Saccharomyces cerevisiae S288C: one gene and its partners. The gene in region 1 interacts genetically with each later gene. Each region holds a gene or a part of one and is shown on either strand. Other genes may lie near its edges.

What was found. A genetic interaction does not mean that the proteins touch.
Region 2: mutations in RRP1 (region 1) and YOR1 together harm fitness more than expected from each alone (negative genetic interaction), as found in Saccharomyces cerevisiae (2 studies listed by BioGRID).
Region 3: mutations in RRP1 (region 1) and YJR142W together harm fitness more than expected from each alone (negative genetic interaction), as found in Saccharomyces cerevisiae (2 studies listed by BioGRID).

The regions. Positions count from the first base shown.
Region 1 is NC_001136.10:616,970-619,942, forward strand, and holds RRP1 (Rrp1p), read right to left. Parts: upstream 1,338-2,973; coding exon 501-1,337; downstream 1-500. Other genes in the region: translocon subunit SSS1, read right to left, coding at 1-201; mRNA splicing protein SLU7, read right to left, coding at 1,528-2,676. UniProt on the Saccharomyces cerevisiae protein: Required for 27S rRNA processing to 25S and 5.8S.
Region 2 is NC_001139.9:1,050,882-1,057,926, forward strand, and holds YOR1 (ATP-binding cassette transporter YOR1), read left to right. Parts: upstream 1-1,942; coding exon 1,943-6,376; downstream 6,377-7,045. Other genes in the region: PXR1 (telomerase inhibitor), read right to left, coding at 29-844; BGL2 (glucan 1,3-beta-glucosidase), read right to left, coding at 6,902-7,045. UniProt on the Saccharomyces cerevisiae protein: Functions as a pleiotropic drug pump at the plasma membrane to clear toxic substances from the cytosol. Organic anion transporter involved in the detoxification of a wide range of toxic environmental organic anions that contain carboxyl groups.
Region 3 is NC_001142.9:695,467-698,838, forward strand, and holds YJR142W (uncharacterized protein), read left to right. Parts: upstream 1-1,674; coding exon 1,675-2,703; downstream 2,704-3,372. Other genes in the region: HIR3 (Hir3p), read right to left, coding at 1-230; IPA1 (putative polyadenylation protein), read left to right, coding at 440-1,483; PMT4 (dolichyl-phosphate-mannose-protein mannosyltransferase), read right to left, coding at 2,860-3,372.

The sequences.
Region 1 (2,973 bases):
GGCGTAACCAATGATACCGACTGCAATAAAACCAATACCAACAGCCTTGACAATCTTGGTGTATTCCTTCAAATCAGGTTTCTTACACTTGGCCAAGAATTGAGTACCTTCTCTGACAAATTCTACAGGTGCTTCAACCAGCTTTTCAACCTGGTTGTTGCTCTGCTTTTTCTCTTCACCTTTTTCACTAGCTCTAGCCATTTTATTTTTCAATGTTATACGTGATTTTATCTTTGGTAAACTAGCGTAGTGCGGACAATGGACACGAGTTATGGACAATACACGCCAATCTGTACTATTTTCCTTGTTTAATTTAATCACTAGTATTCTTTCATTTCAAAACGAAAAAAAAATAAAAAAAATGTTGCGAGGAAAAAAAGGCGACGTGTTTCGCATTCCGCCAATATCCACAGAGGGTAATGAATTTTTCGTACTATAGATATACAACTACAATTTATATGAGCGACTTACGATTACTTACATACTACCGCCAGGAAGAATCAAAATCCCTTCCACTCTTCCTCTTCCTCTTCTTCAGATTCGTTACTGGAATCATTATGTTGCGTTTCGCCTTCAAGAATATCCCAGGAAACAAGTCTGGTGTCACTGAATAGGTCTTCTTTGATCTTCTCTCTCAACACCTTACTGTTATTGTAATCTGCCACGATATCTTGGAAAATTGCGATAACATCGGCTAGTGGCGTTTTTTTTGCGCTCTCTGCAATTTTGCGCATCTCTTCCTCTTTGTTTTCCTCGTCTTCATCGTCTTCATCTCCATCTTTAAGCAATCTTTCCCATTCGTCCAGCAGAATATCGACGATATGAATTGGAATCCCTGTGTAGACCTTTGGACTTCCACTCAGAGGTAACCACCTCAACACTTTCTTAATATACTCGTCGACTAATTTTTTGTCCCAGTTTCTGGACTGCAAATACTTCAATTGACTGAATAATACCCTTCTTATCAATAGAAGATACTTATCCAACCTATATCTGTCAATGTTAAACCATTCAAAGCACATGACCTTCCAAAACCCTCTGCTAAACTTTATAAATGCTTTATCGTTTGTGGTCAACTCATCTGCAGTGCTATTGTCCTTAGGATCAAAATATAATCCATGCAATTCACCTAATTCATTGGCTAAACGTTGCTGAGGTCTAGGACGGTCACTGAACCACATTGCATAGTAAAGACCCTTCCAAAGTTTATTGAATTCTATTTGTTTGTTCTCCTTGAACTGTTTAGCGGTTAGATATTTCTTTAACGCTTCGAGTGCATTTACCCTGGTTTTTCTGTTGTTCGACGATAATTGTTTAACAAAGTTGGAGGTCTCCATTGTGAATGTTCTCACTCGATTTTTTAAGTGTCTATTTAGTGTATTATGCCGTGAATGCGCAAGATATATACGTATACTTAAGAATGTAGTTTATATTTGACAATTTTTTTCAGCTCATCGCATTTTTTTTTCTAAATTCTTTACCTCTCGTGCTCCGTGACTAGGATATTGGAAATTCAAATGATATAACTTAACCATATAAATCTTTTAAGTGGTTCCGTTGTTCCTCAGATTGCTTTGTACCATCTACTTTCCTAGCTTCCAGATCTCCAATGCTGACAATCTTGGGCTGCTTGGTTTCTTCTTGTTCCCGTTTTTTCTTCAGATATTCATATTTAGTAGGATTGGCGACTAAAACATGTTGTACTTTTTCCTTATCCTCAATTTCATCACGTATACCCATTTCCTTAGCGTGAGATCTAGCAAACTGGTTCAATTCGTTTAATTTTAGGCCTTCACCTGTCAAATGTCTGCGGAACATTTTTGATTTTTCATCAACTGCGCCCAGTGTTTCAGTTTTGTACAATCTTGATTTAGGATCATAATTACTCTCCGTTGAATTTATGTCGTTCAAGTAAGCAGCCTTATCTTCTCTCAATCTCGTTGATGTCCTATACAACTGAGAATTATCAGCATCATCTTTCTTCAATGAACCTACGGAATCCTTGTAAAGTTCTAACTTCATTAGTTCTATCTCTTCATCTGTATCCCATAGTGTTTCATCAGTTTGGGATTTGTCTTTTCCTTTTATTTTATTTCTTTTATCACGCTCCCACTTACTTATCAGTTCATTGTATTCTTTCCCTGAGTAACCGTACCATCTATCTTTTCTGGAGTCCCAGTCATCATCAGTAGCTCGTACTAAAACTGTGCCATTATTTTTTTGTGAATTTAAATCGGGAACAAGCTTCTGCATCTTACGAGGTTTTTCCATGCAGTCTTTCTCCTTATGCCCTGCTTCCCCACAATTCCTACAAAATGACAGCGAATGAGAATCTCGGACGGACATCTTCTGGGGTCTGATTAGTTTGAACTCATCCTTTATACCCATACCAATTTTTGGTTCTGAATTATTGTCAATATCTAAAGCACCCCCTTTTGCTTTTTGCCTATGATGCACCAAGTAGTCGCTTTTTTCTCCTCCTTCTGCAGTGCTCGTATCATCATTGCCGGGCTTCTTCCCTTCTTGTTCTTTGGGGGTATCCTTATAGTACCATGGTTGATTTCTAATATACCTGGGGATATGAATATTTTCATTTTTTTCTTTTGCTTGTTGTAGTTGCCTTTTATTTCTGTTAATAGTGCTTCGATTTTCGTTGTTTCTGCTGTTATTATTCATTATGTAATCCGATCGTTGTATTTCAGTGTAACTGGTATCTTTTTCAGAAGTGCTCGATAAATGATATACGCAGACTTGATTATTGATTTACTTGAAAGGCAAGCTATTCAATAGATAACGAAGGAGTTATCGTTATGGGTACTATTATTGTCTTTCCGCGTTCGAACTAGTCACTAGTTGTTCCAATGAAATGTACTTTAAAAAAACTCGACAACTTCTCCAATTAAATTGAAGAGTACGGCAGCTGAGGTTACCAACTCTTTTCTATATTTTAATTGTCACTAGGTATAAAAATCA
Region 2 (7,045 bases), on another chromosome or scaffold:
GCTCACACAATGAAACGCAATGGAATGTTTAGTCGTTTGTTATCATAAAGATCTCATTCAGTGCCTTGGAGTCCATCAACGCGGCCCTCTTTTGTTTTATCCATTTGGAGCGCACCGATAGTCTTGTGTTTACCGCATCGGGGATATTGGATGCAGATTCACTAGATTTTAATTTTGACGTCTTTTTCGTTTCTTTGGTCTTTTCCGCCCTTTTTTCCTTCTTCAATCTCTTCTCTTCCTTTTTATGTTTCTTATGCTCCTTTTTGTCCTTCTTGTCTTTTTTCTTGTCTTTCTTATGCTTTTTGTGCTTCTTGTGCTTCTTTTTATCACTGTCTTTATCCTCTTTGTCGTCATCATCTTCATCTTCGCTATCGTCTCCTTCCCTCTTTCGTTTCTTCGCGTTGGAGTAATTTCTTAACTTGTGAGTCTTTGGATCCCACGTGCTTGCTAAAACTTCACCCTTCACAAAATGGATACCCCATTTTCCGTCAATAATCTTCTGCTTTCTCTGCGTGTCCAATTCCTCTGATATTTTGCTTTCCTTTCCGTTCAGCCTACCAAGAATTCGCTGGAAGACATCCAACCCTGCGCATTCACCATTATCAAACTCGTCTTTTTTGTCTTTACGTTTTAATTTAGCACCGAGCCCAACGTTGTCGTCCTTAATTGACACTTTGATATGCGAAGTGTTCGAATTCATGGGGGATAACCCCAGACCCATACCGGGTTTCCATCCAAACTTTTCTAGAAATTGGTGCCCGAATCTCGAGGTGTCGTTACTCCATGCCGTATTTCTGGGGTCTAAACCAAACCGCTGTTTGGTTCTTGTAGCTGCCAAACCCATTCTGCTTCTTTGTTTAATGGTGTAAGCTGCCTATATGTTACTATTGAGTACTCATCTCATCGCTTCTTTCAGAACAAAATTTTTCATATTTTTTTTTTTTCCTTTTCTTTTTTTTTTTTTCTTTGACTGTTACCCGGTTGTTTATATTTGTAGGAAAACAACAACGACAGAGAAAATATCCTTGCAGTGGCGGCTAATTTGTTAGTTGACTGATTGATCACCTTCACTTATTAAAGTAAAATCAGCATACAAGAGATCAGAAGGGAGAAAGAGAGTGGGCAAGGCTATAGTACTTTGAAGAAAGCATCTTTGAACCGACCAGTTCTCTTCACAAGCAAAATCTATATGACTAACCGCAAGGGGCAAAGGGTTGTGAGAGGGCCCGTCTTTCTCCCGCTATAGCCGTCACTGGTATCCCTCCTGGCTGCACAAATCCGATAGAAAGGGGAAGAAGGAAGTTTAGTGCCACCTTATAGCACGCAGTTACTGTTTACGCTAAGGAGAGGCATACTCAATTTTTATTAGTCGCCTTCTTTAGTTGCTGCGTTTTTATCCACGGTTCTCTACTAAATGCTTGCGATAAGCGCTTCTATTTTCCTCCCCACCGCGAGGCGGAAATGGCACATTTTTTTTCTTTTGCTTCTGTGCTTTTGTTGTAATTTTTGGCATGTGCTATTGTATGAAGATAACGCGTGGTTCCGTGGAAATAGCCGGAAATTTTGCCGGGAATATGACGGACATGATTTAACACCCGTGGAAATGAAAAAAGCCAAGGTAAGAAAGTGGCAATATTTTTCCTACAAATAGATCTGCTGTCCCTTAAATGATTACCATACATATATATATTTATTACACATCTGTCAGAGGTAGCTAGCGAAGGTGTCACTGAAATATTTTTTGTTCCAGTTAGTATAAATACGGAGGTAGAACAGCTCTCCGCGTGTATATCTTTTTTTGCGCTATACAAGAACAGGAAGAACGCATTTCCATACCTTTTTCTCCTTACAGGTGCCCTCTGAGTAGTGTCACGAACGAGGAAAAAGATTAATATTACTGTTTTTATATTCAAAAAGAGTAAAGCCGTTGCTATATACGAATATGACGATTACCGTGGGGGATGCAGTTTCGGAGACGGAGCTGGAAAACAAAAGTCAAAACGTGGTACTATCTCCCAAGGCATCTGCTTCTTCAGACATAAGCACAGATGTTGATAAGGACACATCGTCTTCTTGGGATGACAAATCTTTGCTGCCTACAGGTGAATATATTGTGGACAGAAATAAGCCCCAAACCTACTTGAATAGCGATGATATCGAAAAAGTGACAGAATCTGATATTTTCCCTCAGAAACGTCTGTTTTCATTCTTGCACTCTAAGAAAATTCCAGAAGTACCACAAACCGATGACGAGAGGAAGATATATCCTCTGTTCCATACAAATATTATCTCTAACATGTTTTTTTGGTGGGTTCTACCCATCCTGCGAGTTGGTTATAAGAGAACGATACAGCCGAACGATCTCTTCAAAATGGATCCGAGGATGTCTATAGAGACCCTTTATGACGACTTTGAAAAAAACATGATTTACTATTTTGAGAAGACGAGGAAAAAATACCGTAAAAGACATCCAGAAGCGACAGAAGAAGAGGTTATGGAAAATGCCAAACTACCTAAACATACAGTTCTGAGAGCTTTATTATTCACTTTTAAGAAACAGTACTTCATGTCGATAGTGTTTGCAATTCTCGCTAATTGTACATCCGGTTTTAACCCCATGATTACCAAGAGGCTAATTGAGTTTGTCGAAGAAAAGGCTATTTTTCATAGCATGCATGTTAACAAAGGTATTGGTTACGCTATTGGTGCATGTTTGATGATGTTCGTTAACGGGTTGACGTTCAACCATTTCTTTCATACATCCCAACTGACTGGTGTGCAAGCTAAGTCTATTCTTACTAAAGCTGCCATGAAGAAAATGTTTAATGCATCTAATTATGCGAGACATTGTTTTCCTAACGGTAAAGTGACTTCTTTTGTAACAACAGATCTCGCTAGAATTGAATTTGCCTTATCTTTTCAGCCGTTTTTGGCTGGGTTCCCTGCAATTTTGGCTATTTGCATTGTTTTATTGATCGTTAACCTTGGACCCATTGCCTTAGTTGGGATTGGTATTTTTTTCGGTGGGTTTTTCATATCCTTATTTGCATTTAAGTTAATTCTGGGCTTTAGAATTGCTGCGAACATCTTCACTGATGCTAGAGTTACCATGATGAGAGAAGTGCTGAATAATATAAAAATGATTAAATATTATACGTGGGAGGATGCGTATGAAAAAAATATTCAAGATATTAGGACCAAAGAGATTTCTAAAGTTAGAAAAATGCAACTATCAAGAAATTTCTTGATTGCTATGGCCATGTCTTTGCCTAGTATTGCTTCATTGGTCACTTTCCTTGCAATGTACAAAGTTAATAAAGGAGGCAGGCAACCTGGTAATATTTTTGCCTCTTTATCTTTATTTCAGGTCTTGAGTTTGCAAATGTTTTTCTTACCTATTGCTATTGGTACTGGAATTGACATGATCATTGGATTGGGCCGTTTGCAAAGCTTATTGGAGGCTCCAGAAGATGATCCAAATCAGATGATTGAAATGAAGCCTTCTCCTGGCTTTGATCCAAAATTGGCTTTAAAAATGACACATTGCTCATTTGAGTGGGAAGATTATGAATTAAACGACGCTATTGAAGAAGCAAAAGGAGAAGCTAAAGATGAAGGTAAAAAGAACAAAAAAAAGCGTAAGGATACATGGGGTAAGCCATCTGCAAGTACTAATAAGGCGAAAAGATTGGACAATATGTTGAAAGACAGAGACGGCCCGGAAGATTTAGAAAAAACTTCGTTTAGGGGTTTCAAGGACTTGAACTTCGATATTAAAAAGGGCGAATTTATTATGATTACGGGACCTATTGGTACTGGTAAATCTTCATTATTGAATGCGATGGCAGGATCAATGAGAAAAACTGATGGTAAGGTTGAAGTCAACGGGGACTTATTAATGTGTGGTTATCCATGGATTCAAAATGCATCTGTAAGAGATAACATCATATTCGGTTCACCATTCAATAAAGAAAAGTATGATGAAGTAGTTCGTGTTTGCTCTTTGAAAGCTGATCTGGATATTTTACCGGCAGGCGATATGACCGAAATTGGGGAACGTGGTATTACTTTATCTGGTGGTCAAAAGGCACGTATCAATTTAGCCAGGTCTGTTTATAAGAAGAAGGATATTTATCTATTCGACGATGTCCTAAGTGCTGTCGATTCTCGTGTTGGTAAACACATCATGGATGAATGTCTAACCGGAATGCTTGCTAATAAAACCAGAATTTTAGCAACGCATCAATTGTCACTGATTGAGAGAGCTTCTAGAGTCATCGTTTTAGGTACTGATGGCCAAGTCGATATTGGTACTGTTGATGAGCTAAAAGCTCGTAATCAAACTTTGATAAATCTTTTACAATTCTCTTCTCAAAATTCGGAGAAAGAGGATGAAGAACAGGAAGCGGTTGTTGCCGGTGAATTGGGACAACTAAAATATGAATCAGAGGTAAAGGAATTGACTGAACTGAAGAAAAAGGCTACAGAAATGTCACAAACTGCAAATAGTGGTAAAATTGTAGCGGATGGTCATACTAGTAGTAAAGAAGAAAGAGCAGTCAATAGTATCAGTCTGAAAATATACCGTGAATACATTAAAGCTGCAGTAGGTAAGTGGGGTTTTATCGCACTACCGTTGTATGCAATTTTAGTCGTTGGAACCACATTCTGCTCACTTTTTTCTTCCGTTTGGTTATCTTACTGGACTGAGAATAAATTCAAAAACAGACCACCCAGTTTTTATATGGGTCTTTACTCCTTCTTTGTGTTTGCTGCTTTCATATTCATGAATGGCCAGTTCACCATACTTTGCGCAATGGGTATTATGGCATCGAAATGGTTAAATTTGAGGGCTGTGAAAAGAATTTTACACACTCCAATGTCATACATAGATACCACACCTTTGGGACGTATTCTGAACAGATTCACAAAAGATACAGATAGCTTAGATAATGAGTTAACCGAAAGTTTACGGTTGATGACATCTCAATTTGCTAATATTGTAGGTGTTTGCGTCATGTGTATTGTTTACTTGCCGTGGTTTGCTATCGCAATTCCGTTTCTTTTGGTCATCTTTGTTCTGATTGCTGATCATTATCAGAGTTCTGGTAGAGAAATTAAAAGACTTGAAGCTGTGCAACGGTCTTTTGTTTACAATAATTTAAATGAAGTTTTGGGTGGGATGGATACAATCAAAGCATACCGAAGTCAGGAACGATTTTTGGCGAAATCAGATTTTTTGATCAACAAGATGAATGAGGCGGGATACCTTGTAGTTGTCCTGCAAAGATGGGTAGGTATTTTCCTTGATATGGTTGCTATCGCATTTGCACTAATTATTACGTTATTGTGTGTTACGAGAGCCTTTCCTATTTCCGCGGCTTCAGTTGGTGTTTTGTTGACTTATGTATTACAATTGCCTGGTCTATTAAATACCATTTTAAGGGCAATGACTCAAACAGAGAATGACATGAATAGTGCCGAAAGATTGGTAACATATGCAACTGAACTACCACTAGAGGCATCCTATAGAAAGCCCGAAATGACACCTCCAGAGTCATGGCCCTCAATGGGCGAAATAATTTTTGAAAATGTTGATTTTGCCTATAGACCTGGTTTACCTATAGTTTTAAAAAATCTTAACTTGAATATCAAGAGTGGGGAAAAAATTGGTATCTGTGGTCGTACAGGTGCTGGTAAGTCCACTATTATGAGTGCCCTTTACAGGTTGAATGAATTGACCGCAGGTAAAATTTTAATTGACAATGTTGATATAAGTCAGCTGGGACTTTTCGATTTAAGAAGAAAATTAGCCATCATTCCACAAGATCCAGTATTATTTAGGGGTACGATTCGCAAGAACTTAGATCCATTTAATGAGCGTACAGATGACGAATTATGGGATGCATTGGTGAGAGGTGGTGCTATCGCCAAGGATGACTTGCCGGAAGTGAAATTGCAAAAACCTGATGAAAATGGTACTCATGGTAAAATGCATAAGTTCCATTTAGATCAAGCAGTGGAAGAAGAGGGCTCCAATTTCTCCTTAGGTGAGAGACAACTATTAGCATTAACAAGGGCATTGGTCCGCCAATCAAAAATATTGATTTTGGATGAGGCTACATCCTCAGTGGACTACGAAACGGATGGCAAAATCCAAACACGTATTGTTGAGGAATTTGGAGATTGTACAATTTTGTGTATTGCTCACAGACTGAAGACCATTGTAAATTATGATCGTATTCTTGTTTTAGAGAAGGGTGAAGTCGCAGAATTCGATACACCATGGACGTTGTTTAGTCAAGAAGATAGTATTTTCAGAAGCATGTGTTCTAGATCTGGTATTGTGGAAAATGATTTCGAGAACAGAAGTTAATTTATATTATTTGTTGCATGATTTTTCTCTTTTATTTATTTATATGTTGCCGATGGTACAAATTAGTACTAGAAAAGAAAACCCACTACTATGACTTGCAGAAAAAGTTATGTGTGCCATAGATAGATATAATTGCATACCCACATTGTATACTCAAAATTCCGAAAAGAACATTTCATTTTTTATGAGGCAAACTGGACAACGCCTTCGGTCCTTTTTCATTCTAGAAATATATATTTATACATCATTTTCAGAAGATATTCAAAGAACTTATTGGGATGTCTGTTTACTGAATAAAGTATACACAAAATACGAATTTAAAATGGAAGGCATAAAATAGAAAACTTAGAAGTGAAAATCCTAAAACCGAAGGATATTTCAAATACGTAAAAGAAGTGAAAGATAAAATAAAGCCTAAATAAGGAAGAAAAGAAGGGATAACATTTTTTTTTGTTACTTTTTGCTTATTCCTCACCTAAACAGAAGGAAAAAGCCATTCTTGTTTAAAGAGTATTTTTAAAGCGTTCATGAAAAGTCACAGTCCAAGGAGTATTTCAAATTGTCACTTGAAGTGAAAACACCCCAGTGCTTCTCGACATCAGAGGTACCAGAGGTGTTTGGCTTCCAATCTTCATCAAAGGCTTCAAAAACAATAACGTTAACACCCCA
Region 3 (3,372 bases), on another chromosome or scaffold:
AGCGTAGGAGAAGAATTGCGATACATGCCCCACCTATCAGGCTTGACGACATCAATCTGGAAGAGCTCTTGGAATTTGCTGTCCGACTTTTCGAAGTCCTTGTTTTTTAGATCAATCAGAGCGTCCTGCAAAATATTAAAACTCTGTTCTATTTGAAGCTCTCTTGAATGCTCCTCTGCTTCATATTGTTCACCTTCGATGTTTGAATTGAGGGCATTGAACATAGACATAATAAGCTTTATCTAGAATCTGTGTTGAGGTTCTAACTCCTTAAAGTGCCTTTACGGACCTGCCTTGCTACCGTCTATTTGTATTTCTGCTCTTCCCAACGTAAACAATTCAATAAATAATTTCGCGATGGCACATAGTAACAAGCTGTTAAATCGAAGTAAAGAAAAGGAAAGTCAAGAAAACAAAGAGAGAAACAAATGCAAGGGTGATGGTTCAATATGTGGTAGAATGGTTACCAAGGATACAGAGCATTTCAGTGGTAGTAGAAGGTTGGAAGCAGGTGGAGATAAAGAACTTGAAGGACACACTCATGAGCATATCTGGTGATGAAGAACAAGTTGAAGATATTTTACTTCCAGTAGAAGTTGAAGAAAAAGTAGACGCTTCTTACAAGTTCAAAAACAGAGGTAAAGACTTAGAATGGATGACGAAGTTAAGAAGCAAATCCTCTAAGATATATGACAGTTCTATCATGTCGCTTCCAGATGGAAGATGGACTAAAGAAGAGCTTCGCTCAGATTCTGATTTCTCGATAGAATGTCTTAACTGTAAGCAAAAAATTATAAGCAAAGATAACTGTCAAGTTTTGAATGATATGCCTTCAGAGTTTTGGTTCGAGTTAATGGATTATTGGCATTGCCACAAACCCGATGTTAAGGAAGACAAGTCTTCCTACACAAGATTTGAAACGCTAAAACCATCTAAAAACGAAATTTTAATTGGAAGCTCTTATTTTCAAGGCACTCCTGCGACTTTTGAAAATGTAGCGACTACAAAGGAAAATGATAATGTTTTATGCATAAAGTGCTCAGCAGTGTTAGGCCAAGTAACTGCTGGTTCGCTTTATAAACTACACAAATGGAAACTGCAGTTAATACGCAGTGGAAACACATACAAATTTCCTCCAGAATGTGACATTACAATTTCTTTAATAAACGTAGTTAAGGCAAACTCTTGTCGTTACGTACTAGTAAAATGTAAAACGGAATCATTGCTAGTTTGGATATTTTCCGTTGACATTGGAGTCACATTGACGGGAAACAAAAGCTTCAAGAGAGCGATGAAGTTGCTTTACACAAACAGCGTTACCACAATAAATCGATGTCTCAATCGACAAGTCGTCGAGGAATTAGATTTCCAAGAAACATCGTTTAATGCTTTTTACAGCGCCCTTCAACATACTAATGCACTTTTACCCTCAAGCATGAAAAAAATTGGTGAATGGACCATTAGCTATACATCACTAATCTAATTTTAAGAACCATTCTCTTTCAAATTTGTACAAATATTGTCATCAAGTAATAAATAGCTTCTTTTTTTTTTTAACATACAGTTGTAGAATTAACTTCGTTGGCCGAAGAATTGCACAACAATAGCGTTTGTTATATTACTAAATATAGGGGCTTTCTTGGGAACGAAAGTGAAACAAACGCTTTTAATACAATGAAGGTCGAGAAATCATCTAAAGGCTTGGAAGTTTTAGTGAGGACACAGGAGGATGATCTAGAGGGGTTCTCTTTCCTGGAGATTATGGACCGCGTAGACCCTTTACCATTAGACTTCGAGAATTACAAAAATTTCAAAGAGGGCATTTACTATATGTGTACACACGATGGCACAAAGATCGGTTTCGTGTTGAAATTTGCGATAAATGAAATGGAGACTGTTTGCTCGGAAATCTTCGAAGAAACCTTCCAATTAGATGAATCTAGACATGAGTTAAGGTTTAAAAGTGAAGATTTTGATCATAGAAACAATCTAATTGACCAATTGGCTCGTAAAATGTATTTAGAATCATCCTTGAGTGGTGTGAAGGGCTGGAGAAACGAGAAATATGCCGTTTGGGTTAATAAAAAACCCTATGTACTGGTTGAGCGTGCAGTAGCAGGTGTTCTTGGTATAATTACCTACGGGATTCATATTAATGGTTATGTGCTAGATCCAAAGTCAAAAAAAGTTCAGTTTTGGGTTCCAAGAAGATCTAAAACGAAACAAACATGGCCGCTAATGCTTGACAACATTATCGCCGGGGGATTAGGTTATCCTTATGGTATCTATGAAACAGTTTTGAAAGAAAGCATGGAGGAAGCCAATCTAGAAAAGAGTGTTATTGAGGATAACATTAAAGCAACTGGTTCAGTTTCCTACCTTTACTTTACGGGTGATATTTCTGTAACGAAGTTCAATAAGGAATCAGATTTTATCGTAGGGGAAGTACAATATGTATACGATCTAAAACTCAGCGAAGACATCATTCCAAAACCAAACGATGGTGAAGTCGAGAGTTTCAATTTATTCAGCCTGCAAGAGACGATTAATGCTTTAAGAAAAAAAGAGTTCAAACCAAATTGTGCATTGGTAATGGTAGATTTCTTGATTAGACATGGCTACATCACTCCAGAAAATGAGCCCAATTATCTTGAACTAGTAACTAGAATGCACAGAAGGTTACCATTCCCCACCTTGAATTAACATTCAAGAGGTTACCGGTTGATATCTAAACAAATATAAAGAATTTTTTTCATATATACACATCTAGGTACATACTATCTAAGATCAAAAGTACTCTATTTTGTCACTAAACGGAGGAAGGCGTTCAGTTCGTTTGTGGTTAGTGAACAGAAAAAGTTACTTGGAGAAATTTAATTCTATGTCAAACCACTCTCTAGAAACAACTTCCGATGGTGACAAGCTGACATCTCCATACACTAGTGGTGAAAAGTATACAAAAAACCACGCAACAGCACAGGAGACACACACCAAGAAGACGGTATAGGGTTTAACGTAGACCTTAGGGTTCCGTTCATATGATGCACCTGAAATATCCTCGTCTTTCTCCAAATCCAATGATTTGCAATCACTGAAAATTACTTCCCATAGTGCTCCTGAGAATAAGCACGCGATTAAATGAGCTGGTAAGTAATGATGCAAAAACTTTTGACGCGCCATTAAAAAGAATGGAAAATAATGACAGCACCAGGAGACGAAGAAAAACATCAATGGGCCATACAGCTTTTCTCTGGTCATCTTGTTTAGGGCATAATAGCCACGATGTCTAGTAATTAAATCGGCCACGATAATGCCAACAAAAACAGCCAATGATATGACTTGGAACCACCACCCAATGATGTTACCAATGAA